7 linked regions of the Oryctolagus cuniculus genome follow. The protein of the gene in region 6 interacts with the protein of the main gene of each other region in a pairwise test. Links are inferred from orthologs where the notes say so. Each region holds a gene or a part of one and is shown on either strand. Other genes may lie near its edges. The genes, in order: TMUB2, SPP1, FERD3L, CSF1, TMEM174, SGTA and PBXIP1.

Region 1 (3,979 bases), on a different chromosome or scaffold from region 6:
ATCAGAAGTAGAACAACTGAGAAACCAACAGGTACCCATTCGGATGCTGGCATCGCAGGTGGCAGCTTTACCTGCTATGTCAACACTGTATCCCTTCTCCTTTTGTTTTAAATATTTATTTTATCATTTTTTGAAAGGCAGAGCTAGGGAGACATCAAAAGATACATTTCATCTGCTGGTTCACTCCTCAAACAGACACAATGGCCAGGGCTGGCCCAGGCTGAAGCCAGGAGCCTGGAGCTTCTTCCGGGTCTCCCACGTGGGTGCAGGGGCCCAGGCACGTGGGCCGTCCTCCACTGCTTTCCCAGGCCATAGCGGAGAGCTGGATGGGACGTGGAGCAGCGGATGTTGGTGTCCCACTTGGTGGTTTAGCCCGCTGCGCCACGACCGGCCCCGGATTCCTTTTATATAAAGTGCAAAATCAGGAAAACTAACCTATGACGGACTTCAGTGGCTAGACGAGGTCTGAAGGGAGCTGGTTCTGGGGTCATTTCCTTTGCTGCTTCTGCAGGCTCGTTCTGGCCGAGAGTTCAGCCGGTGCAAACCACCGAGCCCTGCACTTAGGATTGCCCCGGCTGCATTATTTATACTTTAATCAACAGCTCATTAAAAACACAAACCCTTAGGTAAGTGCTGGGGAGCTGAGCTTTTTCTCCCGTCTCTCTGGCTCCTTTTCTCGTGCCCCGAGGCTGCGATGAATCCCTGCCTCTCTGAAACGCTTTCCCGCCGTATTTACCCAGGCTCCACGCCACCTGGAGCTGCCATCTTCGCGCACTGCCTAACCTGGCCCCTCCATCTGCCCTACCAGCCCAGAGCCGAGGAGGTCCTCACTGATTCCGGGGACTTGGAGCTCAGTCCGCGGCCCAGGGCGGTAAAGAATCCCTTCAGCCTGGGAGCCAGGGAGCAAGGCCTGAAGAAACAGGCCGCAGAGTGGGCGGCCTCTTTCAGGCTCCGGCCGGGGGAGCCAGCCTGGGCAAAGTTCCACGGCCACGAAGCCACGCCCCGCCCCGAGCACCTCCCCCCGGCCCCGCCTCTCACCCCGGTCGGCCTGAGGCCCCGCCCACCAGGCGTGGCCTTGAGCCCGGAGGGCCGCGATCCCGCCAACAATGACTCCGCCCCTTCTTCCGCTGAGAATCCTGTCCCTTTTATTTAAAGAATACGTTTACGTCAGCTCGCCTTACGTAGACGTGCGTCATCAGTGCAAGGCGCGGAGGCGGGACTTCCTATCTGTGGTTCTAACAGCTTCCGGGAGAAGCCGGAAGAGACTGGACTGTGGACCGAGTCGAGGATTGCCAGCCCCTCCCCCGGTCCCTACGGAAAGACGAGGCCAGGGGCCGTCCTGGAGAAGGTAAAACTATTTAGTCTGGACTTTTCAGGTGAGGACCTCCTTCCCCATCCGAGCACAGTACCAGTCCAAGCCCCCTTTAATTTTCCCATGACTCCTCGCGCCCTCAAGCCCCACCCCCGGTCCAGCAGCCCCGCCCCGAAGTTTGAGGGGTGTGGATGGTTTGTGACCCCCTCACCTGATCCTGCCCCTCGGGGCCTAGGAGAGCTGGGCTTGGGCGCCGTGACCGGAACCCGGCAGCCCCCGCGCCAGCGTTGCGGGAGCAGGACCGCCCAGACGCGGAGCCTGCGGCTCGGACAGACGGGGAGGCGGACCCTCCTCACTCAGCGCGCCGACGGGCTGAGAGGGCGAAGGCCCGGGGGGCGGGCGGGCTGGGGTCCCGGTGTCCAACCAGCCGTTTCGGTCGCTTCGCCGCCACCCTTTTCTGTAAAGCGCGGCTCATGCCATTACCGCGCCTGCCGTGAGGGCTTGGTCGGGGCAGTGGTAACCTGATGGCTGCCACTTGAACGGCTGCAATGTGCCGGGCAGCGCGCTAGGTAGTTTGCTTGGGTGATTTCACGTCATCTTCCAAACGACCGGCCGAGGTAGGTGCTATTTTTAACCCCGTTTTACCGAGGCTCTGAGAAAGTTGTCCGCCGCCAGGAAGAGGCAGGCGGGCGGGCGTTGTGATGGGTTGCTCTGTGTTTGCTTTCTCCCCGGCCGCAGGGGCAGGGCCGGCGTGGCGGGTGAGGCCGAGGTTGGTAGGTTCCCCAGGCGCGCAGTCCTCCTTGTCTCCTGGATCGGGTAGAGAGCCGGACAGCTAGAGCCGTGTGAGGAAGTTGCGCAGGTGCGGTGAGGACAGCCCGATGCTGGTGACCGCCGGCCTGGACTTGCCCAGGGGCGGCTGTGAGCGCAGCAGGTTCTCGGAGGAAGCGCGCAGGGTCAACGCCGCGGCCCAGGGAGAGCTGAGAGGGCCTGGGAGAGCCGGCGTGGAATCCTTCCCGAGGCGGTTCACCTGGGGAGTGCGTGTGGTGCTTGTGAGCCCCTGGTGGCCCCTCCGGTGGCCTCTGGGGAGGTGTGACTGCTTCGATGAGAGGTTCATTTTCCTTAGGTCTTGACAGCCGGGCCTGGATCTGCGACCGTGAGGGAGAAGGGGCTCAGATCTGCAAGGCTGGCCGCACAGGGCCTCCGAAGAGGCCTTAAGATAAAACTTTTCGGATTTCTTGGTTTCTCTACAGCTGCCTTGGAGGTTGCTTAGGGGACATACTTGCTTGACCGAGTGTTGGAAAGTCTAAGAACTGCGCTCAAAGAAGCGAATGTTTCTCCCCATTCACTAAAAAGTAGCAGCCGTGCAGGCGGGTGCTGTGGAGCCTGGGTATGCGGCCGCCAGTCGGACATCGCCGTCCTGTGTCGGAGCACGGGTCTGTGTCCCGGCTGCTCCGCTTCTGCTGCAGCTCCCTGCTAAGGGACCTGGGAAGCAGCGGAGGATGGCCCAGGACTTGAGTTCCGTATGGGAAACCTGGATGGAGTTCAGGCTCCTGGCTTTGGCCTGGCCCAGCCCCTGGCAGCTGCGGCCACGTGGGAAGTGACCCTGCAGATGGAGGACCTCTCTGCACTCTGCCTTTGAAATAAATGTTTCAGAACAGCAAACAGTGGCAGCAACGACACGCAGAGGAGGTCTTGCCGGGGATCTGCTGGTGGGGAGGTTGGAATGTGGGAGGAAGGGTGTGCAACCTGAGAGTTTCACAATCGTGGCAAAGGGTAAGGCCTTGGCTTTCAGTTTGGGGTCCAGAGTTAGGAAGCTTTGTGCCTCCCTTCTCCACTGAACTCCATTTGCAGTCAGGGCTGGGTCAGTGAAAGCCCAGACAAGCTAGAAACCTGGTCACAGCTCCTCGGGCTCCACTGATGCCGCCCCTCTTTGTTCTTGCAGCCCGGACCCCGTCGGCAGCCGGACCATGGAGCTCTCTGATGTCACCCTCATTGAGGGTGTGGGCAATGAGGTGATGGTGGTGGCCGGTGTGGTGGTGCTGATTCTCGCTTTGGTCCTAGCCTGGCTCTCTACCTATGTAGCAGACAGTGGCAGCAGCCAGCTCCTGGGCACTATCGTGTCAGCAGGCGATACATCTGTCCTCCACCTGGGGCACGTGGACCACCTGGTAGCAGGCCAAGGAGCCCCAGAGCCCAGCGAACTCCCCCCTCCATCAGAGGGTAATGATGAGAAGGCTGAAGAGGCCGGCGAAGGTGGGGGACACGCCACAGGGGAGTCGGGGGCTGGAGGCGGTGCCGAGCCCAGCCTGGAGCATCTCTTGGACATCCAAGGCCTGCCCAAGAGACAAGCAGGCAGAGAGGGCAGCGGGCCTGAGGCCCCCCTGCGCTCCGAGGCTAGCACCTGCATCCCTGCCAGCCCCGGCCTCATCCATGTGCGGCTCAAATTCCTCAATGACACCGAGGAGCTGGCTGTGGCCAGGCCCGAGGACACTGTGGGTGCTCTGAAGAGGTGAGTGGGCTGGAAAGCGGGAGGCTCCCAGCCCTTGGTGGGGGACGGTGGGGAGCAGCAGGGAGGCGTGAGGCACAGCCCCTACCAAGGGTGGGGGGCATGCTTCCTTCAGTTCCCTGGCCGCCCTCCCACCCCTCACCTTTGTCTTTCCTTCCGTG
Region 2 (4,040 bases), on a different chromosome or scaffold from region 6:
CGCCGCAGGGCGGAGTATTAGCCTAGTGAGCTGCAGTGCCGGCCAGGGAATGGAACCCAATTCAGCTCTCTCAAGAGTGGCAGGGATCCAATCCCTTGAGCCATCATTGCCACCTACCAGGGTCTGTATAAGCCGTTAAGTTGGAATCAGAAGCTGGGATGGGGCATTAAACTCAGGCACTCTGAGATGGAACATGGAGTCTTTACCCAGCATCTTAACCACCAGGCCAATGCGGTGCCATAGTCACATTCTGAGTGCTCAGTAGCCATGTGTGTCCAGTGGCTGTCTTATCAGACAGTACAAAATATATCAACATTGTTGCACAAGAATTCTATTTTTCTAAGCCGCCAGAGACTTATTTGTCTAGAAAATAACTATAATATGCTAGGGGAGAGAGAGCAAGAGAGAGAATTTCTCCTAGCAATGGTACATGACTTTAGTGACATAATGTCATGGCCTATGTGCCTTTCATCAATGTACCCTTGCCAGATTTTATTCTGTTTTAAAAGGCACCAGTTCTTTCCTTGAATAGTATGGCTTGTACCTTCTTTGGAGATGTTAGCTTTTCTACTTTGTTATTGTGATTCTATCTGTGTTCGCAAATCAACAGACACATGTACACACATGCACAGCCACACACACACACACACACACACACACACAGAGCACCTCTCTTCATGTCTTCATTAAGCAGTCTAATGGCCGTGACCCTAGGCAACTCTGCATTGGCCTCTATTCTATTCATCTGGAATTGAACTCTGTGTGCCTTTTTGTCCAAGCTTCTCAGAACAAGGCCCATTTGTTGTGTGGCTGGCACAGCTTCATCTATTGTGGAGGGGCAGGTACCTCTAGGGTGTTGGTCAAATCATTATAATAGTTTGGTTTGGTCTTATGCTTGGTTTGAAAAATGTGATCTAAAGTCAGCTGACGAGCACAATAGATACAAACAGCACAAGTAGACCTTCTTTGCACAATGGGCGTCCTACAAATTTCTTAGGCGATATTGTGGTCAGACAACAGTCCTGAGCCATAGCCAAGGTGAATTTCAAACATAGCTTTCCCCTAAGTAAAGCAAAGGATGGAATTTTCTGCTTCTAGAAAAGCAGGTTGACTCATGGAAAGAAAGTCACACCACTTCATGGAATTCACTTCACATGTGATTATGACCCAGATAATTATTTTATCATGTTAAAACAAGCCCAGCTTGCTTTTAAGAACACGCATTTATCAAAAACTATACTGTGCTTAGGTTGGGTCTAGATTCATAACAGAGGTCAATTAGCAGGGTTGTAAATGAATGGGCTTGACCATGAAGGTAAGTCAAATTGCAACAAAGATGTTTGGCTACTCCTGGCAATGAATACATGACCAATCTCACTAGATGACAGACTTCAAAGGTGCTTACCTGCTTTTCCTCGGAGCTGCCCGAATCAGCGTGTTTAACCTTTCAAACAGAAAAGAGGAAGCAACGTTACTGCGGGATTGTGTTCTAGCACAAGAAGGCACCCAGTTCACTTATTCCTGTGAATTTCCTGTAAGAGTAGCAGCACTCACCGGGAGGGCGTAGGCCATGCCCAAGAGACAAAAGCAAATCACAGCGATTCTCATGGTGGTGATTGTTCCTGCAAAATATTTTGTAAGAACAGCTTCATAGGTTAAAATGTAAAAATCTGCCACATTACAAAATAATCAACAATCACAAGTAAAACATTCTGTTGAATGTATTCTACTTGTTGGACTAACTCGTCTGTTTGTAACATGGTCTTTGGAATTCATGTTTGTCACTTCCATTTTCCACTTCACTGTTAGACAAGTGAGAGGGGAATTTTACAAGTCTCCATTTTATTCAGTTTTTAATTTAGAGTTCCAGAGATTATATCACCCCTACTCGATATCTAAACCTAAAAGCATTATCAACAGAAATTTAATTAAAATAATAAGCACGCATGGGAGTACCTAATATTCAGAGAAGAAAAACACAAAGGGCAAAAAAAAAATGAAAGAAATTTGCTGTCCCCATTTCTCCAGCATGCATTTAAAACACATTCTTACACCCAAATTATTAAGAAGCTGCTGCTTAGTTGAATTATAGCTATCTTTCAAGTTAGTTATTTAGGTAAGGTAGTCTAGAAGTTTGAAATGAAGAAGAAAATAGTGAAAGCATACAGGTTTTAAAAAATTTCTTGTTGACATTTTTAACAGCTAAACACAGAAGTAAAATATGCAGAAAGGATTTTTTCCTTGAAAATGAGATAGACCAAATCATTTAAAAATAGCATTATCAGTGGTTTACAATAGCACAAAAGATTATTCTTTATTTAATGCCTCCACAGTCATCCAGCCATTTAAAAGACACACACTCATTCCAAGGGGGCATAGAATTTTACTTTTTTCTGACTGGAAGCAGTTGCTTCAGGTCTTTGGAGAATTCAATAGGTATGTTTCTAAGTTTTGCATTTGGCTTTCAAAATATCTGAGCACTTTGGTTCCAGACTTGTAACATATCTGATCTGCTTATTCAACAACAACACAAAAACTGCAGTCTAACTGTTACAGCATCACAGCTTAAACTATTTTCCTTACAACTTGAACTTGCCCATGAAATTCAACTGAAAGTATGGACAGCAACACAGTCGGAGCAGGCTGCAGGCTTACCTTGGTCGGCGTGTGGCTGAGAAGGCTGCAACTGGCCCGAGATGAGTCCAGTCCCAGAGGATGCTGCGCTCTCTGCCTCCTCCTGCTGCTGACAGCCGGAGCCTCTCGGGATTTAAATGCTGCTCCAACATCCTCCAGCAACACAGGGAGGCGGAGAGATGTGTCATGAGGTTGTTTGCCACAGCCCAGCCCACCTGCTCCCACACTTCCCCTTCTGGTTTTGTGGTTAGAAACAAAAAACAAAAGAAACCAAAATTGACACACACACACACACACACACACACACGCACTTATGCACAATGTTAACTGGCTTTGCCATTTACTGGAATGGCATTCGGACTCCTGGAAGAGCACTTAGGGGTCTCCTAAAAGAAAGGGAAAGTAACTAGTTCTTACAGAGATTTTATTTATAATTTCTGAGTTAGGCGAAAAAATACGCATGTAAATCAGCCTGGAATGAAATGAAATAGAAAGGGCTTTTGTTTCCCCAAGTAATAGATGAAGGTGATATCCGCAACCACAGTTGCCGTTCTGTTTCCTGAAGAACTTGAAGGCCACTGTCGAGGCCCAGCGAGAGGAAGCGTCCCTCTGTCCCTTTCTACTCAAGCTCCGTTTTGTGACTTCAAGTCAGCAGCAGCTTGTCATTTAGATGAACGATCTTAGTGACACTGAGGTCCCTATTCATGCTCGTTCCGTTGGAAGACTTGCAGTGACCTTTCAATGACATGGATTTTTGTTGCACGGTCTGAATTGTTCAGAGGTGATGAATCTGGTAAATACGTATAAAAACCGCATCAACTAAGAGAGTGAGCGGCGATTTACGGTGGATGCTGCAGCAGTCAGGGCCGTGTCTGACCGAGAGCAGGATGACCGCCTGAGAGGGCTGCTTCAGGAGCCGCGCTGCGGCCTTGAACCCTGCTCCGTCTAGAGTTGCTGGCCTGACCTTGGACACATCACTAGGCTATCTATACCTGTATTCCTCATCTGTGAAATGCAGACCCTGTTAACCCAGCTCCTGGAACTTTTGAGAGGTTTACATGAGTCAGTATATGTACAAATAACAATGTTGGGTATGCATTAGAGGCAAACGCCCTAGTGTGTTTTTCAATTGAAAAATACAGATTTTTTATTTATCAGAGAGAGAGAGAGAGAGAGAGAGAGAGAGATCCCATTTGCTGCTTTACTCTACAAATGCCTGCAATGACCAAGACTGGGCTGAGGCTGAAGCCAGGAGCCAGGACAACAATCCAAGTTTCCCACGTGGGTGGCAGGAGCCCAGTTGCTGGAGCCCTCTCTGCTGCCTCTCGGGGTCTGCACTGATGGGAAGCTGGCATCAGGAGCCAGAGCTGGTGCTCCAGTGTCGGATGTGAGCTTGACAGCTAGAC
Region 3 (3,765 bases), about 48 Mb from region 6:
TGTGCGCGGCAGAGCGGGTGCCCGGCCCCCGCACGTCGGAGCAAGCCCTGCGGATTTTTTTTTTTTCCGGATTCCCGCATTTGTGGTTAGGTGGGCTTCACCCACTCCTGTGGTTGCCACCACGGCTTTCTGAAAGACCCCATTTCAGGTGCTCGTGGAGCCGCACCAGGTCCAACCTGCACCCACCCGCTCGAACTTCCCGGCGGGCGCTGGGGTCCCGCAAGCCGTCAGAGTGCGTCTCCGCCTCGGACTTCCGCCTTCCGTGGAAATCCTCAGAGGCCGTGAGGGCCCACGCTACCGTCCCCACCTACGGCAAACGGCGGGCCGGTACGTGCTCAGGCCCCGCCGCGCAGGGAAACCGGGGCCAGGTGCTGCGTGGCCGCGGGCGGGCGAAGCCCGAAGTTCCCCGCAGGCCCGGGGGCACGCAGCGCGCCTCTAGCTGCCCTCGGCGGCCTGAGGCGTGGCAGGCCCGCAGCGAGCAAGTCCCACTCAGGCAAGGCCCTGGACAGTGGGCGCTCCCGCCTTGCTGGGCGCGGCGGTGCCAATGGGGCCATCTCAGTGGGCGCCCGCCCTGGGTTCCCGCTCTGGAAATCTGACACAGTGGTGTGGGGGGAGGGAGAGAGTGGGGGGGGGCAGGAGGAGATGGAAAGGGAGAGGGAGACCAGGAGGGAAGAAGAGAGAGACAGGAGAGAGAGCCAGCGAGCTAGTACTGGAGAGATGATGTCCCTTCCCGGACGTGGCATTCTGGTTACCAAGTCCCCTCGGACTCTCCCCATTTTTTCTGCATCTCCTCTTAGTCCCTGGTCTGGCCTGGGAGCCCTGGGCAGGAGGGCTGGAGCCGCTTGGCCTCTCCGGAAATCCCGCACGGGGTCGCGGGTCTCTGCTACAAGCCTTTCCTAGGAGCGCGCGGGTGGGGAGGGCACAACGTCCATTCTTGAGGCTTAAAACAAAGCCAAGACTCTCTCTGGTTTGCTACTTCTAATACCGTTAAAAAGACAACGCGGAGAGAGGGGATCCCGACAGCAGCGCCCAGTCCCCGCAGTCTGCGGACCGGATGAGCCAAGACCGCTCCCCGCTCTCGCCTCTGCCCGGCACACGGAGAGGGACCGCGCGGGCATCAGCTCCACAGCCGCTCTCTTGCCGAGAACACAGGGCGATTGACAAGGAGCTCACGTGGCCGAGAGGGCCACGCGTCCAGCCTCGCGGCCGCCCTGCTCCCCTTTCCAAAGCACCCCTCGGGGGCCGGCCCTGGCGCACCCCAGCCGCGCGCGCCCTGGCGGGGACCCGGCCGGCACCGCAGCCCCAGCCCCAGTCCCGGGCCGCCTCAGCCGGTTTGCTTGTCACAGCTCGCCAAGAGCTCGGTCATGAAGGAGATGTAGACGATGGCTAGGCGCAGGGTCTCGATGCGGGACAGCCTCTTCTCGTAGGCAAAGGTGGGCACCTTCCTGCGCAGCTGGTCGAAGGCCTCGTTGAGGTTGAACATGCGCTTCCTCTCGCGGATGTTGGCGGCCTGGCGCTGGGCGTAGGTGATCACCCGTTTCCTCCTGGGGCGGCCCAGCAGCGAGGCGCCTCTCCCGCGCCCCTCTTCTTCTTCTTCCTCTTCCTCCTCCTCCTCCTCTTCCTCTTCCTCCTCCTCCTCCTCGTCCCCTTCTTCTGCATCCCCCTCTTCAAACCGCGCCAGCCCTCTGGGTCTTCCCTGTCGGAGCGCAAGGCCTCGGTCCCCGAGGGGCGCCTCCGGCGGGAGGTCGCCGAGGACAGGACGTCTCGGGGAGACCAGGGACAGGTCCGCGACGAAGTCCAGCACGGCGGCGTCCACACAGCTCTCCCGCCATCGCTGGGACGCGGCCCTGCGGCTCATGGAGTTTGAGGCTGCGGAGGGGGCTTGCCTAACGGCCTTGGGTCGGGCCCGGCATCCTTGCCCAAGGCCCGGGGGGCCTGTTCCTCTTTGTAGGCAAGCTTGGGAACAGGATTAGTCGCGCTCACGGGGCCGGCTCTGGCCACGTCGCTGTCCTCGGAGCTGATGGAGGGAGACAGGCTGGAGGACACGTGGACGACCACAAGGGCGCAGGCCCCCCCCGGTGCTGGGCTCCTGTGCGCGGCGCCAATCGGGACAGTTCTTTCTCTACCTGCTGAGCCTTTTGTAACTGTCCTCGCCCCCCACAGCCGATAAATGCGCCCCAGACTCCTCACCTCGTGCGGGTCTTTAATTCCAGGCTGGGTTTTCAAAGCGAGGATGTTTTCCACCGCAGTGGCTTCTCCTAGACTTCAGGGCTGGAGACCCGAACCTTGCCACCGTCTACCAGGGGAGGGGAAGCAAATGGCATGCGCTTTTAATGATGTCCTGAAGAGGGGCCCAGGCCGCCGGGGGCTCCCGGGGAGCTGTTTGTCCCGTATCCCAGCGCCGCCGCGGCTGAAAGGCAAGCCCTTACATTAGCTTAAGTAAGCATGGCAGGGGGCAGGAGCGCATTCCCCGGGGTCGCTCCTGGAACCCGGGTCCTTTCCCCCTCCTGCCCGGTCACCGATGTTTGGACGCCCCCAGCCCGACAATGGAGATACTTGACTTTCCTTTCCCTTATCTCCTGCTCCCGTAAAGTGGAGGATTTTTATTCCCAGGGGAAAAGTGAGGTTGGGCACTAACGTGAGAAATGGAAGATCCCAGCGGTTGCTCCGTGAGGGATTTTGCTGTAGAACGGCCGGCGTGTAGGACAAAAGCAAGCCCTTTCCCCAAGGAGAATTTCTCCAGTCTCCTTTCACACATGATCCTTGATAAGCCAGTCTCTGCACTTTTAAGTTGCTGATTGAGTGTTTGCACAAAGGCAAATCCGGAGACTTCCATCTGCCTTCTTTTCCTCATTGGCTTGTATATTCCTACAAGAAGTTCCTCTACAGAACTTTAGAGCAGGAACCATACCTTGTTGAATTCTCCTGCGGGGTGATATTTTTGGTATTGTTAGATAATTTTTGAGATTAAAAAGTTTATGTCATGAAAAGGACATTTTACTGATTTTATATCAACTTAAAATATTTATGTATTTAATTGAGAGGGACAGAGGTGGGAGATAGATAGATAGATCAAGAGATATAGAGAGAGATAGAGCGATAGAGATAGAGAGAGCTAGAGCTAGAGAGAGAGAGAGAGAGAGAAAGAGAGAGAGATCCCATTCACTGCTTCACTCCCTGGGAACCAAGAAGTCAATCCATGTCTCCCACATGAGAGACAAGGATGACAAGGATCCAACTACTGGAACCATCACCTGCTGCTTCCCACAGGAGGTGGAACTCGGACTCAGGCACTTTGATGTGAGGATGAGGTGTCCCAATAGGGGCCCGATTCCTAATATTTTAACAAAGATGTGTTCCTTTTTCCTTCTTTGCCAATAGCTATGGTTTGGTACTCACGGCAGAGGATTTTTCAAATTCCTGGTGAGGTGAAGTGAGATGTTAGAAAGCAACTGTAAATGTGGCTTAGAAGAAAGCGTCCTAGGAGGTGAGTTTAGACACATCCTGGTTCAAGGGAGAAACACCAGGGACGTTGCTCCCCATGAGGAGGTGAGTTTTGGCCCTGAGGGTTCACTCAGTACATTGGACAGCTCCCAGAAACTGCTTATTTATAACAGGTAAGCCCCATTCCTGTCCTTCTCCCTTGTGTCTCTGGGTATATTCAAAGCAGTATGCTCTCACATAATTATTTTTTAACCCATTTCTGGCCGGGTTCTCCTTGATCTTCATAGATTTTTCTCTCCTCCTGCTCGTGTTTATATCCCA
Region 4 (3,500 bases), on a different chromosome or scaffold from region 6:
GAGCATGGGATGAGTGCGGGCTGGAGAAACCTGTTCTGCCCTGTGGGAGGAAAGCCTTTTTCCCAGCATCGTCTAAAGGTGCATGGGCTGTGGTTAGCAGGGGGCTTGCTTGGGAGTGGGAATACGTGGCAGGAAGCTGGCTGACTCCTGGTCAGGAATGCAGAGAGGGCTGGCCCCTTTGGAGTGGGTTGCTGGACCAAACGACCTCTGAGAGTCCATCTAACACTCAAGTTCTGTGGCACCATGATTCTAAGAGCAGGGAGCTGAGAATGGCTGAGGTGGGGGGTGGGGTGACTGAGGGAACCATCTGCCAAGAAGTGCACTCCGAGGGCAGCTACTGGACAGGCCAGGAAGTCCAGTTGGAAGTGGCTGGCCATGCAGGGCTGCTAAGAATTCCCAGGAGGCTGAAGGCCTTCATAAAAGCTGCGACTAGAGGAAAAGGATTTTGGTTGCTCTGGGAATGAAGGTGGCTGTCAGACCAGACTCCCAGTGCAGAGGTAGCAAGACCCAGCCTGCGTGGGTCTTGGGGGGAGATTGGAGAACTCAGAAAGGAGAGGCTTGGCTGGAACCAGGAATGGGTGGGCAAGGGGAGAGGCAAGCATCTGGGCCTCCGGGAAGTTGGTGGTGTCACCAACAGGTGAGAGCGACTGGAAGAGGGTGGAGCTCATTTTAAGGGGTGGAAAGAGATGAAGATCAGAATCTTACCTTTACAAAACTCCCTCTACACTGGCAAGTCCACCTGTCTGTCCTCATTCTGGGTCAGGAGGCTGCAGGCAGAGCACAGGGACGGCGTAAGACTTCAGTAGGAGCAGGGGAGTGAGGGGACCCCTAAGCCCGCTCCCCGCCAAACATACACACATACTCTAGCCCTCTCAGGCTTAGAGGATCCACAGCTGCCTAACTCCAGGAAGAGCTGGGGAGAAGCCCCGATGTCTAGAAAAGAGAGGATGCCTTTCCTCCTCTCCACCCTGCTGCCTGCAGCCCCACGTCCTCAGAGCAAGTGGGAGACACCCCCCACCCCGCCTTCCTCCAGAGGGGCGGAGGATCCCAGGCCAGCCCCCAGTTCTCACCTGCCCTCTGGCGGCGCCATGGGAGAATCCGTGGCTGGACTCTCTTGATGGCTCTGGGGACAGGAGACAGCAGGCTGAGTTGCTGGGAGGGGGAGGGACTGGCGCTCCAGCCCAGGCAGTGCTGCCCCGTGTGTTTAGGAGAGAGCTGCCAGCATCCCGCCACCGCCTCCACCCCCCTCCCTGGCCCCCGCTCCCCAGCAGTCAGCTGGGATCAGCTGGAGGGTGAGGCAGTTCCTAGGGCCTCTCTGCTGATGTTCCCGCTTGCTTCTCCCATGCAGGCTGTGTCCTCTCACTCCAGCTCTGCCAAGCTCCCTCACTCTTCTCCTTTACCCCTCTCCCCCAACTGCAATCTGCCTGTCACCCCACTGCGGGCCCAACAGCCTTCTCTCCCACTCCCTTCTACCCCAGCCCCTGCCCGCTGACCTTACGGCCTAGGCCTTCCTGATTCTGAAAGCAACTTCCACTGCAACCTGCCATCCTCTGCACCCAGTGAGCCCTGCATCTCAGCCCTCAGAACCCGGGCCCAACCGAAGCTGCCCTGCCAGAGGCCCCCTCCCTCCTGGGGCTCTTACCCGCCGCCTCCGCCTGTAGAACAGGAGACCCCCAACGGCCAACAAGACCAGGATGATGCTGGGCACCAGCAGGCGGAAGGCAAAGCCGGGCAGCAGGGGGTCAGAGGGTCCTGTGTGCTGCCTCTCATGGCCTGTGTCAGTCAAAGGAAGGGAATTAAAAGGAGCTAGGGCCTGGGCAGCCCCCTCGCTTGCACGCTCTGCACCATCCAGCTCTCTCAGGCTCCTCCGGTCCCTGGTGCTCCTTCTGCCCTCCAGCTCCCTGCGGAGTGCTAAGCCAGCCCATGGGTGGCTCCTGGGAAGCCTTGGCTGAGTGGCGGGCACGGTGAACTGGCTGGGGCCCTGGAGGCGTCGCAGCAAGGCCCCGAGAGAGCCTGGCTTCTGGTGGTTTGGAGGCAGGGCAGGTGGCCTGTGGGTCTTCTCAGGGCTGTGGCTCCAAACCAGGCCCTGGGGCCTCACTGAGCCCACCCTGGGTGGGGCGGTGCCGGTCGCAGCCTCTGCTGGCGCAGCAAGTGCTGAAGACGCTGTCAGGAGGTTGCTGGGTCTGGCGCCCTCGGCCTGGACGCTGTCCCCTTCCGGCCCAGGGACAGGGCCCTCGCCAGTGTTTCCAGAGGCCTCTTCCAGGGCCCAGAGAGTGTCCATGGCAGGGTCCAGAATGGCCTCCACCCCAGGTGTGGGGGCCCCGACGGCAGGGCGAGGCTGCAAGGAGCGGCCTGGGGGGCTGTCCTCCACGCCGGTGGTCTCTGGCGACTCAAGGCTCTGGCAGGTGCTCCTGGGTGGTCGCTGCTTGGCGCTGCCTGGGTCCACTGTGCCAGGGGCCTGCTCACCGGGCAAGAGGGGGTTGCCCTGTGTCCCCTCAGCGTCGGCCCAGGCCAAGCCAGCCATGGGGGCTGTAGAGGGGTCAAGGGGCTGGCGAGGGGAGGCCAGGTCACTGTTAGGGGTGGCTTTGGGGTACAGGCAGTTGCAATCAGGCTTGGTCACCACATCTGAAAGAACCACAGAGACAGGGAGAAAGACGGGGAGGAGATAGAGTCACCAGCCTCCAGCTCAGCTTTCCCAGAGGGGGCGGAGAGGGCCACATGGGATCGGGGTTCCCTCACCTCCTACCTCAGCCTGGGGGCTGAGGAGAGGACAGGACTGCAGCAGGTGCCCATGACATGGGGCTCAGGCAGGGAAGGTGCAATGTGCAGGGTCTCACCGGGGAAAGCAGAGAGCAGGGTTTAAAGACACAGCCCAGGGTTGGGGTGAGAAAGAACAGAGACAGTTGGCCCTGGGGTGCCTGCTGGCCAGAGGCCAAGCCAGGGTGAGCAGCAGCCAGGACAGGAGATTAAGACATCCTCAAGCCCCAAAGACACTGATTCATGCACAGCCTGAAGCCACACAGTACAACCACAGGCGGGGATGGTCTGGGCCTGGAATTGGCCAAGGCTTGTGGCCTTGGCATTGAAGCAGGGAGACTGGACTTGGCTGTTGATAGATGGCAGGGCCTCAGCCCCTGCCTTGGGGAGCAAGGTTGAATGTAGGATGCAGAGACGAGGACACGCAGGGCACACATGTATGCAGCTGAGCCAGCACTGAGAAGGTTTGACTGATGTTCAGACTTCAAATCCAGTCTTGGCCATTGAAGGGACACCCAAGGCATCCTGGGGACTTCTGGAACCAGGGCATGCTGGCGATTCATAGCACACTCCTGGAGCAGAGGCCCTGACTCCTAGGTGGGTGTCTGCTCTCTCCTCGGAGCCCCCACATGGCCAGCCAGTCTTCCATGCTAAGAGGATTCCTGAGAGGGTCCCTTTCCCACTCTTTAATCCCACAGCCGCCAGCATGAGCCTTCTTGGTGCCCCCACATGCAGACATATGG
Region 5 (3,671 bases), on a different chromosome or scaffold from region 6:
CAACCCTTGGAAAACAGATACGATAAAAGTAAAAACCATCGTGCCCACAAACATGGTACCAAAACTTTGAAGAATTGCTAAATCCTGGGTCTTCTTTTGGGATGATTCACCCCTACCTGGAGTCCCTTACTTCCATGTCTAGGAAAACATTATCTTTTAAAATCTATAGTTTTAAACTGTCTCTTTTTTAAAATTTATTTCTGAGACAAAGAGAGTGACAGACATAGAGATCTCCTATGAGCTGGTTCACTCCCCAGAGCCGAGGCCTGAGAACTCAGTCTGGGTCTCCCATGAGGGTGGCAGGGACCCAAGCACTTGAGCCATCACCTGCTGCCTCCCAGGGTGCCCACTGGCAGGGAAGCTGGAATCAAGACAGAGCTGGCACGGTGACCCGGGCACTCTGCTATGGGATGCAAGCCTCCCCACGGGCATCTGGGCCCGCTGGGTCAAACGCCTGCCCCTACTTGCTCTGTACATAATTCACAGTCAAGGAGCTGAAGAACATCCAAGTATTTTTTTTTATTAAGAAAGTAAGCTTGACCTTAGCCACAAAGGTTGCTTCCACAATTCATGATTTTCCAGCGGTTGAGATCTCCGAGTGCCTAGACAGGTGCATGTGTTCTGTGCTGCCCTGGGCGTGGTGAGCTCATGCCCGGCCCCGCCCCTGACCAGAGTGGGCTAAGAGCCCCTCATGCACATCACGCTTCAAGGTTCAACTCCACCAAAGAGAACAGCAGCAGCCAGGAGTCACTGGGAGCAGTGACACCTTCAGGATTTATTCCCATCATATCCTACTATTATTCCTTTCATATGATTTAGCCAGCCGTCCAATACTTGTCTTACAGAAGACGGTATTTTATTTTATTCCGTTGTATTTACTTATTTTGCAACCTTTAAGATGCCCAGGGTCTCCAGGAGAGACCAGGTGGCAGCAGTGTCATTTGGGCCACCAAGTCCGCCTTGGGACCAGTGAAGGGCACCAGAAACCTGAGCTGTCCTCCTGTCACCCCTCCCCCTTCCCAGCTGTGGAAACTCCCCAGATCTCAGAGGTTGCGATTTCTCCCTTGGCCGTCGAAGCTTACATGGATACCCAGAGGTCTTCAAATAGGGAAGAGACTGGGTGATGGACAAGCAGGTGGAACAGCTGCTCCTGAGCCTTCCATGGGCGATTCTTTTACCCAAGGGGATTTCCCCAGCCCAGCCTAATTTTTACTGCCCTGTGACCTCTGTCAGGCCGCTCTGCCATCTGACTTCTGAAGGCTGCATAGAACATTGCAGCTGCCAGGTAGCAAGGACCCACGTGCGACCCCGGTCCCCATGCACAGCCGTCTCTAGCGTGGGAGGGAGTATATCTCCTCGTAGGGCGGGGGAGAGAAGCGGGCACAGTCCCCCTCGGGCAGCTGGGACTCCTCTGGCCGCGGAGCGTCACAGCTGGACCTGAAACAGGAACAGGAAGCATAGATGCATCACAGCCCGAACCTATGCCCAACACAAAGCCACCCTCCTGGGCATCAGGCTGCAGAGTCAACCACAAGCCCTCTCAATCCGAGAGCAACGCAGCCAGAGGTCACCACCAGCTGCAAAGGGGAACATCCCCAGCCCACACGCTGTACCTGTCACTGCTACCATCCACGACACACGGCCAGTCTTCATCACCCACAAACGCGGCATTGCCTTGTGGGTAGATGCTATAGTACTGGGGAGGACTCGGCGCCGCAGCCACTACCCCCGCAGTGGGTAGGAGACCACAGGGGCTCGCTCCGGGCTGCAGGTACGGGGCGGTCATCCCCAGGGGCTCCTGAGGTGCGTAAGGAGGAGGGATGTACTGCACCACGGTGGCCCCGTGGAAGGTGATGGGTTGGTTGATGCCGGTGAAGACGAACGATTGTCCTCCTGGAGTCTGCTCCGAGTCCAGGGCCCTTTCCTCGTTTTCTTTGCACAGCTGGCAGGAGAGCATCTTGAACTTGCACACAGCGATCAGGATGAACGTGACCCCGACTGACAGCAGGATGGGCCCCAGGAGCTGGGTCCATTCAAAATGCGAGACGCCTTGGTATTTGATCCAACCCATGATGGTGAACGTGATGCCCACCAGTCCCAGGAAGATGCCCGAGAAGAGCAAGGTGGCCCCCGCCTTGTCGTCGTCGGACACCTGGATGTCGGCAGTACTGGGGGTGTAAGGGGTGACGGCAAACACGTTGAGAGGGAAGTCCTCCAGGCGCCCGCCACCCGGCTCCATGACTCTGCGCTCAAGGGCCGCTCCTTAGGGGGACGGGGCCGTGAGAGCCCGCGAGTCCCAGGTTCAGACTGAGGCTGGAAGAACTTTGGGCTGTGGTGGTTAACAGAGTATAACATGCCCAGGGCTGGACTTCGTTTGGAAGGATAAAGGTCTGGGAAGTGGAGCCTGAAGTTTCCTCATAAATTGCCCACAAGCAGAGGGCTGTGATGGGCAGGTCAGGGACAAGCCACGTCTCCGATTCACTTCATTCGCTCACTCATTTTAAAAAATGCATGGTCAGGTGCCCTGCCAACAACCTTGTAAACACTGCTCCCGCTGGCTCCGTACTACCGGAACCAGGCCTGTGGGAGTGCCTGAGCTAACTCGGCCACGTTCTGTTTGTCCTGCTGGTCAGCCCAGGAGGAGTCGGGACGGACAGCCGTGTGGGCTCGGACCGCGTGTGGGTTCCTGAGGCAGCTAGGATGATGGTGACAATGACACTTGTCTTCGTCTGTTTCCAGTGCTGGACAGAAGACCGCTAACTGTATGATTTCTAGGGCAGATAAATTCACCGATCTGGAGGCTGAGAACTCCAGTACCCCGCGGCAGAGATCATGCCATGGGGAGACAGGCTGAGTGGGCCAGCTCAGGTCTCTTCCTCTTCTTGGACAGCCGCTAAGGTCATCAGGGCCCTGCCTCTTGACCTCATCTGACCCTAATGACCTCCAACATACGAATCGGGGGATACAGTGTTCAGGACTTGACCTTTAGGGGAACACACTCAAACCGCAGCAATACTTCAACGTTAGCAACTATGCTCACACAGTTCTGGGGTCCTGCTCCTTCTTGACCTGCCTTTTTTTTTCTGAACTTGGGGAGTCATTTCAGCCCTGGGAAAGGAAGGATGCCATTGGAAACCTGTCCATGCTGCACATCCCTGGCAGAGACTGAGTCGGCAGCAGGAGGGACGTGACGTGGCAGGGACAGGTGCTGCAGACGCTCCCGTCAGGGTGGCCACTTAGGCAGCAAATCCAACAGCTGTGACTTTGAGCCTGCTGCATTTTGCAACCAAACCCAAGCTGATTTAGAGAAGTAGCTTGATCCATGACAATGCACAATGTTGAACGCCAAAAGTTCCAAAGAGCCTGTGTTTCCTCCTCTCCCTGGTGGTGACTGTAGCCCGCTCCCTTTCCTTGTCTGTCCACACAGACATCTCTCAGCTTCTTTCAGCAGAGTTGAGAAAGCTGCACTCTTGCCCCAAGGCAGGGCTTCTTAAGTGTCCCTTGATGATAAATATCACCTGGAGGCCGGCGCCGCGGCTCACTAGGCTAATCCTCCGCCTAGCAGCGCCCGCACACCAGGTTCTAGTCCCGGTTGGGGCGCCGGATTCTGTCCCGGTTGTCCCTCTTCCAGGCCAGCTCTCTGCTGTGGCCAGGGAGTGCAGTGGAGGATG
Region 6 (3,500 bases):
CAGGGGTCTCATGGGGCGAGCTGGGGGCGCCGCTCAGCCTCGTGCAGGGCAGGGGCCCCGCCCCCATTCCAGAAAGGCCAGGCCGCCGGACCGCCCACGCCTCGCAAGGCCAGGGACGGCGAGGGGGACCGGGGCCCCCGGGGCGCGGGCAGGGGGCAGCCAGCGACCAGGGCCCGTCTCTCCAAGGTGGGGGCAGGAGAGGCCTGGGGCGCGGTGGGGGTGGGCGGTGTTCCGGCAGGGGGTGGCGAGCGCAGAGGCGCGGAGGCTCACCCGAGGGGGGAGGCGGCCTCTTGGTTTTCTGACCCCCGGGACCCCCTCATGGCTCAGGTGAGGGGCAGGGAGCAGCCCCCCGCGCAGGCGCACACCCCCCGGATGGTGCTGGCCCCCCCATGGCTCAGGTGAGAGGCAGGGAGCAGCCCCCCGCGCAGGCGCACACCCCCCGATGGTGCTGGCCCCCCCATGGCTCAGGTGAGGGGCAGGAAGCAGCCCCCCGCGCAGGCGCACACCCCCGGATGGTGCTGGCCCCTGTGTCCGGAGCGCTGAGGTGGGCCCCACAGCGTCCATCGAGGTCCTCGTTTGTCTGCGGGGCGCCGGCCAACTGCTCAGGGGCCCGGCCCCCGACTGTGCCGAGATGGGGCGGAAGCCCCCAGCCTCCCCCAAGCTCCCACCCCCGGGTGGCGGGGAGGGAATTCGATTTCCCAGGACACAGTGGGACGTGGCCTCCTGCCCTCCGCTCCCCTGCCGTCGCCACGCCCCTTCCCGCCTGCGGCCGCCTCCGCCCGTGGACGCCCACAGCACGCAGCCCTGTGTCCGGCCGTACCTCTCGGGCCGCCTGGGCGAGCGCGCGTTCCCTGGGAGAAGCGAGAGCCACTCCCGACCAGCCCAGCGACCACGCGGGACCTGCTGCTGTGTCCCCCGCCACAGGCTGCGCCACCACCCTGCACAGGTGCACGGCGCCCGTAGCCGCTGTGGCACAGCCCCCTGCACGCCGCGGCTTCAGTGGTCGGGGGATGGGGCAGCCGCTGCCCAGGTCCTAGGCCGAGGGCGGCCGCGTCCCCGGCCTGCCCCAGCTGCCGTGGCGGCTGGCGTCCTCGGCGCTCCTTAGCGCTGGACCAGTCCCCCCAGCTCCCTGTCTGTCCCGCGTGCAAAGCTTCGGGTCTTACGGGGCCCGCCCTGGCGACCCAGCCCAGGCAGCCCCTGACGGCACCCGGCACTCGGGGAGGGGCCTGTGAGCGTCCGGCACCCCTCCCGAGGCCGCGTCCTGGCTCGGGGACTCCGGCCCTCCTGGGTGCCGGCCGGGGTGTCCTCCTGCGTCACTTTCATCTGTCGGTGGCCGGACAGCAGAGGCCGGGACTCACTCGGCCCCACCCGTGTGCCCAGCACCGCGCCTCTCCCACTCCCCCCTCAGCCTGGGCCCCCAGGGCACGGTCATAGCGAGAAAGGTCACCCAGCCCTGTGGGCAAGGGCCAGGGAGTGGCCTCTGGGAAGGTGGCCGCCAGCCCAGCCGCGGGGAGCTGGCGGGAGGACAGGAGAGGCGGGACACGGCTGCCGGCCGGCCCCGTGTCCCGTGGACGCCCCGTTCTGCGCTGCACCCGTCACTCGGGGAGTGCGTCGGCTCCTGTCTGAGAGCTCGGCCCGGGCCGCACCTCGCTGTGTGGGCTGGCACAGCGTCCAGCGGCTCCCGGACGGTGTCCAGGGGTCGATGGAGGCTCGGGGGGGGGCAGAGTGGGCCTGGACGCCCCCCCTGCGGGCTGCTCCCTCGCTCGCCTCTCCCCTGCAGAAGCGCGTGTGGCACCGGTGGCCGCAGACGGGGCTGAAGCCCACGGGCTCCCCAGGAGGGGGGGTGGGGCACCGCCCCCAGGTGCTGGGTGAGGGGGGGACGCGGGAACTGGGGGCTGGGGCGGCCGCCGGGGCGTAGGACCAGGTCCCCGGCCCGGGCGCTCCCTGCCCCTCCCGCCGCCTCGCGCTCCGGACGCCCGGGGCTCCCCTGGCCTCGGCTGGGAAGTGGGCGGATCCCCGCACTGGCCCCTCCCCGCGGGGGCGGGATTGGCCGCAGCGCTCTGAGCGGCTGCCCGGCAGCTGGGCCCCGGACTCACGCCCTGCGCTCGGACCCGCAGACGCTGGAAGCCGTCCGGCGTCCCCGTCTCGAGATGGACACCAAGAAGCGCCTGGCCTACGCCATCATCCAGTTCCTGCACGAGCAGCTGCGGCACGGCGGGCTCTCGTCCGACGCCCAGGAGAGCTTGGAAGGTGCCCGCCGCCCTCCCGCCCCGCCCCGCCCCGGCGCTCACCCACGCGGACGCCCGTGCCCCCTGCAGGGGCACCCACGCCCCCGGCCCCTCCAGCCGGGGCCGGCTGCTCCCGCCGGCACCAGAGGCGCTCTCCGTGGGGTTTGCATGGCCGGCCCTGGGGCTGTCTGCCCGCTGGGCAGCGCGGTGTGGGCACAGCAGTGGGACGGAAGTGGCCCCCCGCCAGGCCCCTCGTGGAGGAGGCCGGGGCGGACAGTGCCCGCGGGATGCCCCTGACTGCCGAGTGCGCTGGGCGGGCCGGGTGGGGGTTCTGGCGCGGACCCGTCCTGAGCTGGATCCAGCACCCCCCCCCCCCCGCCGTGTGCGGCAGGGCCGAGCCCCCACACCGGGAGCCCCAAGTCACCACTGTGTCCTTGCTGTGCCCACCGCCCTCGGTGCCCTGGGCCCGTGTCCCGCCTGGGGTTGATGGGAGCTGGGGGACCCCCACCCGTCCTTTGTGAAAAAAAGCCAAAGCCGCGGCAGCAAAGCAGGCCCCGCCCAGGCATGCGGTCAGCGAGGCCTCTGTCCCCACAGTCGCCATCCAGTGCCTGGAGACGGCTTTCGGGGTCACGGTGGACGACAGCGACCTGGCGCTGCCCCAGACCCTGCCGGAAATCTTTGAAGCGGCCGCCACCGGCAAGGTGAGCCCGGGGCCACCCGGCCCCCATTCCCCAGCCTCAGAACAGCGGCAGGGGGCGCGGTGGGCTCTCCCTGGGCAGGAGAGGGGCGGGGGAGGGTGTGCGCCCTGACCTGGTCCGGGCAGCAGGGGGCGCCGTGGGCTCTCCCTGGGCGGGGAGGGTGTGCGCCCTGACCTCAGCCGGGCAGCAGGGGGCGCTGTGGCTCTCCCTGGGCGGGGAGGGTGTGCGCCCTGACCTGGTCCGGGCAGCAGGGGGCGCCGTGGGCTCTCCCTGGGCGGGGAGGGTGTGCGCCCTGACCTCAGCCGGGCAGCAGGGGGCGCCGTGGCTCTCCCTGGGCGGGGAGGGTGTGCGCCCTGACCTCTGCCGGGCAGCAGGGGGCGCCGTGGGCTCTCCCTGGGCGGGGAGGGTGTGCGCCCTGACCTCTGCCGGGCAGCAGGGGGCGCCGTGGGCTCTCCCTGGGCGGGGAGGGTGTGCGCCCTGACCTCTGCCGGGCAGCAGGGGGCGCCGTGGGCTCTCCCTGGGCGGGGAGGGTGTGCGCCCTGACCTCTGCCGGGCAGCAGGGGGCGCCGTGGGC
Region 7 (4,289 bases), on a different chromosome or scaffold from region 6:
CCTGATGCCCCCTTCCCCAGGAAGGTGGGCACTCGAGATGGAAACGTCCCCTGGTGATAGGCCCAGTGGAGCAGTCACCCTTCTGGGGAAAGGGGAACAAATCACACCTCGGGTCTACCCCTGGGCTTCAGGGAGTCACAGACCACTCTCAGCCTTCCCCCCAGCGTTTAACTTTGTGCCTTTGACCATCTCCTAGGTCTGACGATATTTAATGCAAAGAAGTTTTCGGGCCCCTGAGTTAAGGACAGGGGTGCTGACGCCGTCTTGGCTCCCAGGACCCTGTCCTCCTTGCTCAGCAGCCTCTCCAGTTTGGGTTGGGAGAACAGAAGCAGTAGTGGCAGCTGTCCCCTCTCCCTGGGGAGGTGCAACCCTTAGAGATTGCCCCAGAGCCCCCCTCCCGGCCAGGGGGGAGATGGACCCCCTCCCTTGCTCAGTGCCTCCTGGCCGGGACCCCTCTCCCCAAGGGGTCTGTATATACATTTCATACGCCCCGCCCCTCCCATGTTGCATGCATGTTATACTCTACAGCCAAAGTGTAGCTCTTCCTCCTGTATCCCGGCTCTGCCTCTCCCTTCCCAGGGTGTGAACTGGAGCCTCCTGTACAGTTCACTCTCCCAGGAGGGTTCTGTGGAGGCGGGAACAAGGGCACTGAGACTCGAAAGCATTAGACAATCCCAAATACCATCTGTCGATTTGGAACCGCGCTCATTTTTACTTTGTATGCACATATTTTATGGCTGTAGGTTTACTTTCCTAATTTTGTTCTCCATGGCTTGTTCTTGAACACAAAATGATGATGATCAACTACATCCACACATCACCTCTTTGACTTTTCCAAGCCCTCTCACCACTATTGGCATTTTCCTCACCGGGCCTGCAAAGGAACTCGGACTGGCAGCATTATTATTATTTTTACAAAAGAGACCAGAGGCAGAAACGGATTTTGAGCCAGGACTAGAACTTGGACCTCTTACCGCAGGCTGGGAGGCAGGCGTTTGGCTGGCTGTGTCGATTTCACGAAGGGGGAACTTAAAGCCCACAGGTCCCCCAGTACCTTCTACACGCGGGGCCCTGTGCTAGGCCCACTGCAGCCACAACCACAGAAGAGGCCAGTCCTGCTCTTTAGGCCTGTGGGGAAGGGAAAGCTGACAATTTTAATCCTAGCCACCACCTCCTTTCGTGTGTTTGGATGTTTTCACGGGTCTCACTTATACCAAAGGGAAATAATCTTCATTAAAATCCGTATTTCTTCTACTTCGCCTTCTTAGCCACTCTTGCAAGCCCATTGTTCGCGCGGAGCCTCCGCGGCAGGAGGGGAGGCTCCAGGTCGCCGCTGGCCCCACCTGGCCTCACTTGGGGCCCGGCGCCGCCCGCTGGGCCCTGGGCGCCGGCCGACTTAGTGCCCGGTGGGCGTGGAGACCGATTGTCCCCGGGGGATGCGGCTGCGGAGGGGCCTGGTGCAGGCGGGGCGGGGCGGGGCAGGGTCCGAGGCCAGCCGGCGGCTGCCGGTGCCTCCTGGGCACGCGCCCCTCGGCCCGCAATGGTACGGTCCGGTCGCAGGGGCTGGCGGGCGGCGTCCCGCGGTGAGCTGGGGCCGGCCGCTCCCTAGAGGGCGACGGCTGTCTCCACTAGGGCCGCCCCGTGGTCCTCTCTCCCCTCTTCCTGCGTTTTGAGGCGCCGAGTCTCCCAGTCCTTGCTTCCCCTCCCCGCCGCGCTCGGTGGTGGCGGCCGAGCGGAGTTCCGGTTCCGGTCGCTGCTGCTGCCGCGGGCGGGCGGCGAGTCTGGAGCGGGCTCGCAGTTCGTGCTCCAGCTCGGCGCCTCCCCCTCGCCGCACCTTGGGGCTGCAGCAGCTCGGGGGCCTGTGCTGCCCCGACTCCCCTTCCGGGGGATGGTGCAGCCTGAGGGCGCCTCCATCCCCCGCCGCCGCTGATCCCCGGCCCCCACTCCATGGCCGCCTCGGCGCCGCCCCCACCGGACAAGCTGGAGGGAGGTGGCGGCCCCGCACCGCCCCCTGCGCCGCCCAGCACCGGGAGGAAGCAGGGCAAGGCCGGTGAGAGTGCTGAGACGGGGCGGGGGCTGGAGAGACCTGGGACTTGGGAACCTTGGAGGGGAGGGTGGGGTTGGTCCCAAAGGCTGAGAGCGGGGAGGGCTTGAAGGGACGCTCAGGTGAAAAGGATGGGTCGGTGTAGCGCTCCGGGGTTGGGGGCAGGTGTGACAGATTGAGGACTTTCAAGGGTGTGGAGCCACGTGGAATCCAGTCAGGTGGAGTCTGATAGTGTCAACAGATAGGGTGTCTGCTTTCGAGAAAGGCATAGCTGACAGTAGGGCCCCACTCAGGACACGTTTTTCATATGACACTCCTTTGTTAGTATTCGCGAAATAAATGTGTGTTGAAGTTGACCGAGTTCTTGGAGCAGGGCTGGGAGGAGGAGGTTGGAGAAACTCGTCTGCCTTTTGCTGCTCTTCCAGGTCTGCAAATGAAGAGCCCAGAAAAGAAACGCAGGAAGTCCAATACTCAGGTGAATGTTGGCTGGTGGTGGGCGTGATTGCCAGGAGCCCCTGGCGCTGTCCGCTCTGTATTGCGTCAGGTGCAGGGAGAAGGAAGGCGGTGGGTTCTGTTTCTGGTCCTCGCCCTCAACTTCCTAACAAACGTAGGGGATAATCCTTCCCCACGAGAGCCCCTTACCCAAGAGCTGGTCGGGCAGGGTTGCAGCCTTCTTTTTCCCCCATTTTTCCTGTCCTGGCTCCTTCAAGACAGCGTAGCAGGTAACCACCTAGCGAACCTTTTCTAAGTGCCAGACGTTGTGCCGAGGGGCCTGAATGGTTTGGGGGAGCTGGGCACTGTCCTTGTATCACGGAGAGCTTTGGGGTCAGAGCTGGGACTTCAGCGTGGTCCTCCCTGTTTTTCAAAGGCGTTCCTGACTGCGCTGTTCTGCCCTGCTCCCTCTGTTTCTATGTTGCATTCTGAGGTCCGTCTTGGTCTTGGCACTGGCTGGCCGGTGTCTGCCTCCAGAACGCTGCGGCGTCTGTGGTGTTCTGCCCACGTGTGTTTGGCTCCGTGTCAGGCCCCTGTGACCCTCTTTCCCTCATCTGTTCCTCCCTAGGGCCCTGCATACTCACATCTGACGGAGTTTGCGCCACCCCCAACTCCCATGGTGGATCACCTGGTTGCATCCAACCCTTTTGAGGATGACTTCGGGGCCCCTAAGGTGGGGGCCACAGCCCCTCCGTTCCTTGGCAGTCCTGTGCCCTTTGGAGGCTTCCGCGTACAGGGGGCCATGGCGGGCCAGGTACCCCCAGGCTACGGCACTGGAGGTGGAGGGGGTCCCCAGCCACTTCGGCGACAGCCTCCCCCTTTCCCTCCCAACCCTATGGGCCCTGCTTTCAACATGCCCCCCCAGGGCCCTGGTTACCCACCACCAGGCAACATGAACTTTCCCAGCCAACCCTTCAGCCAGCCTCTGGGTCAAAACTTCAGCCCTCCTGGTGGGCAGATGATGCCAGGCCCCGTGGGGGGATTTGGCCCCATGATCTCGCCCACCATGGGACAGCCTCCCAGAGGGGAGCTGGGTCCTCCTTCCCTCCCGCAACGCTTTGCCCAGCCAGGGGCGCCTTTTGGCCCTTCTCCGCTCCAGAGACCAGGTCAGGGACTCCCTAGCCTGCCCCCCAACACAAGTCCCTTCCCTGGCCCGGACCCTGGTTTTCCTGGATCTGGTGGTGAGGACGGGGGGAAGCCCTTGAATCCACCTGCTCCCACTGCTTTTCCCCAGGAGCCCCACTCGGGCTCCCCTGCTGCTGCTGTCAACGGGAATCAGCCCAGCTTCCCACCAAACAGCAGCGGCCGGGGTGGGGGTACTCCAGATGCTAACAGCCTGGCACCCCCTGGCAAGGCAGGTGGGGGCTCAGGGCCCCAGCCTGCCCCAGGCCTGGTATACCCGTGTGGTGCCTGTCGGAGCGAGGTGAACGACGACCAAGATGCCATTCTGTGTGAGGCGTCCTGCCAGAAGTGGTTCCACCGCGAGTGCACGGGCATGACTGAGAGCGCCTACGGGCTGCTGACCACTGAGGCCTCTGCCGTCTGGGCCTGCGATCTCTGCCTCAAGACCAAGGAGATCCAGTCTGTCTACATCCGCGAGGGCATGGGGCAGCTGGTGGCTGCTAACGATGGGTGACTGCCCGGTGGTCTGGGGAAGTGCACACGTCCCTCCCTGCTCTTCCAGGGTGATTGTTTCGTGTCTGGCTCTTGGTCCTTGTTTCCGCTGGTTTCCCATCCCCGTGGAGCAGAAGCA

Evidence for each region.
Region 1: the proteins of SGTA (region 6) and TMUB2 interact in binary tests that used the Homo sapiens proteins (3 or more experiments, as listed by UniProt). The two-hybrid records come from large-scale screens. The link is inferred for Oryctolagus cuniculus from reciprocal best matches to the Homo sapiens genes SGTA and TMUB2.
Region 2: the proteins of SGTA (region 6) and SPP1 interact in binary tests that used the Homo sapiens proteins (3 or more experiments, as listed by UniProt). The link is inferred for Oryctolagus cuniculus from reciprocal best matches to the Homo sapiens genes SGTA and SPP1.
Region 3: the proteins of SGTA (region 6) and FERD3L interact in binary tests that used the Homo sapiens proteins (3 or more experiments, as listed by UniProt). The two-hybrid records come from large-scale screens. The link is inferred for Oryctolagus cuniculus from reciprocal best matches to the Homo sapiens genes SGTA and FERD3L.
Region 4: the proteins of SGTA (region 6) and CSF1 interact in binary tests that used the Homo sapiens proteins (3 or more experiments, as listed by UniProt). The two-hybrid records come from large-scale screens. The link is inferred for Oryctolagus cuniculus from reciprocal best matches to the Homo sapiens genes SGTA and CSF1.
Region 5: the proteins of SGTA (region 6) and TMEM174 interact in binary tests that used the Homo sapiens proteins (3 or more experiments, as listed by UniProt). The two-hybrid records come from large-scale screens. The link is inferred for Oryctolagus cuniculus from reciprocal best matches to the Homo sapiens genes SGTA and TMEM174.
Region 7: the proteins of SGTA (region 6) and PBXIP1 interact in binary tests that used the Homo sapiens proteins (3 or more experiments, as listed by UniProt). The two-hybrid records come from large-scale screens. The link is inferred for Oryctolagus cuniculus from reciprocal best matches to the Homo sapiens genes SGTA and PBXIP1.

What each region holds. Positions count from the first base shown.
Region 1 is NC_091448.1:19,069,291-19,073,269, reverse strand, and holds the start of TMUB2 (transmembrane and ubiquitin-like domain-containing protein 2), read left to right. Parts: upstream 1-1,179; 5' UTR 1,180-1,348; exon of another isoform or gene 1,349-1,376; intron 1,377-1,466; exon of another isoform or gene 1,467-1,929; intron 1,930-3,254; 5' UTR 3,255-3,279; coding exon 3,280-3,821; intron 3,822-3,979.
Region 2 is NC_091439.1:77,729,253-77,733,292, forward strand, and holds the start of SPP1 (osteopontin), read right to left. Parts: upstream 2,801-4,040; 5' UTR 2,656-2,800; intron 1,623-2,655; 5' UTR 1,609-1,622; coding exon 1,555-1,608; intron 1,445-1,554; coding exon 1,406-1,444; intron 1-1,405. UniProt on the Homo sapiens protein: Major non-collagenous bone protein that binds tightly to hydroxyapatite. Appears to form an integral part of the mineralized matrix. Probably important to cell-matrix interaction.
Region 3 is NC_091447.1:11,278,299-11,282,063, forward strand, and holds FERD3L (fer3-like protein), read right to left. Parts: upstream 2,386-3,765; 5' UTR 1,859-2,385; coding exon 1,325-1,858; 3' UTR 501-1,324; downstream 1-500. UniProt on the Homo sapiens protein: Transcription factor that binds to the E-box and functions as inhibitor of transcription. DNA binding requires dimerization with an E protein. Inhibits transcription activation by ASCL1/MASH1 by sequestering E proteins.
Region 4 is NC_091438.1:60,416,248-60,419,747, forward strand, and holds part of CSF1 (macrophage colony-stimulating factor 1), read right to left. Parts: intron 2,626-3,500; coding exon 1,643-2,625; intron 1,124-1,642; coding exon 1,071-1,123; intron 768-1,070; coding exon 722-767; 3' UTR 706-721; intron 1-705. UniProt on the Homo sapiens protein: Cytokine that plays an essential role in the regulation of survival, proliferation and differentiation of hematopoietic precursor cells, especially mononuclear phagocytes, such as macrophages and monocytes.
Region 5 is NC_091445.1:37,817,312-37,820,982, forward strand, and holds TMEM174 (transmembrane protein 174), read right to left. Parts: upstream 2,339-3,671; 5' UTR 2,240-2,338; coding exon 1,614-2,239; intron 1,438-1,613; coding exon 1,332-1,437; 3' UTR 501-1,331; downstream 1-500. UniProt on the Homo sapiens protein: Regulator of plasma phosphate homeostasis. Decreases serum inorganic phosphate (Pi) uptake by regulating the sodium-phosphate cotransporter SLC34A1 trafficking by PTH and FGF23 in the kidney.
Region 6 is NC_091447.1:59,203,368-59,206,867, reverse strand, and holds part of SGTA (small glutamine-rich tetratricopeptide repeat-containing protein alpha), read left to right. Parts: intron 1-2,117; 5' UTR 2,118-2,150; coding exon 2,151-2,250; intron 2,251-2,822; coding exon 2,823-2,929; intron 2,930-3,500. UniProt on the Homo sapiens protein: Co-chaperone that binds misfolded and hydrophobic patches-containing client proteins in the cytosol. Mediates their targeting to the endoplasmic reticulum but also regulates their sorting to the proteasome when targeting fails.
Region 7 is NC_091438.1:43,546,239-43,550,527, forward strand, and holds the start of PBXIP1 (pre-B-cell leukemia transcription factor-interacting protein 1), read left to right. Parts: upstream 1-1,489; 5' UTR 1,490-1,947; coding exon 1,948-2,050; intron 2,051-2,469; coding exon 2,470-2,519; intron 2,520-3,104; coding exon 3,105-3,209; intron 3,210-4,289. UniProt on the Homo sapiens protein: Regulator of pre-B-cell leukemia transcription factors (BPXs) function. Inhibits the binding of PBX1-HOX complex to DNA and blocks the transcriptional activity of E2A-PBX1.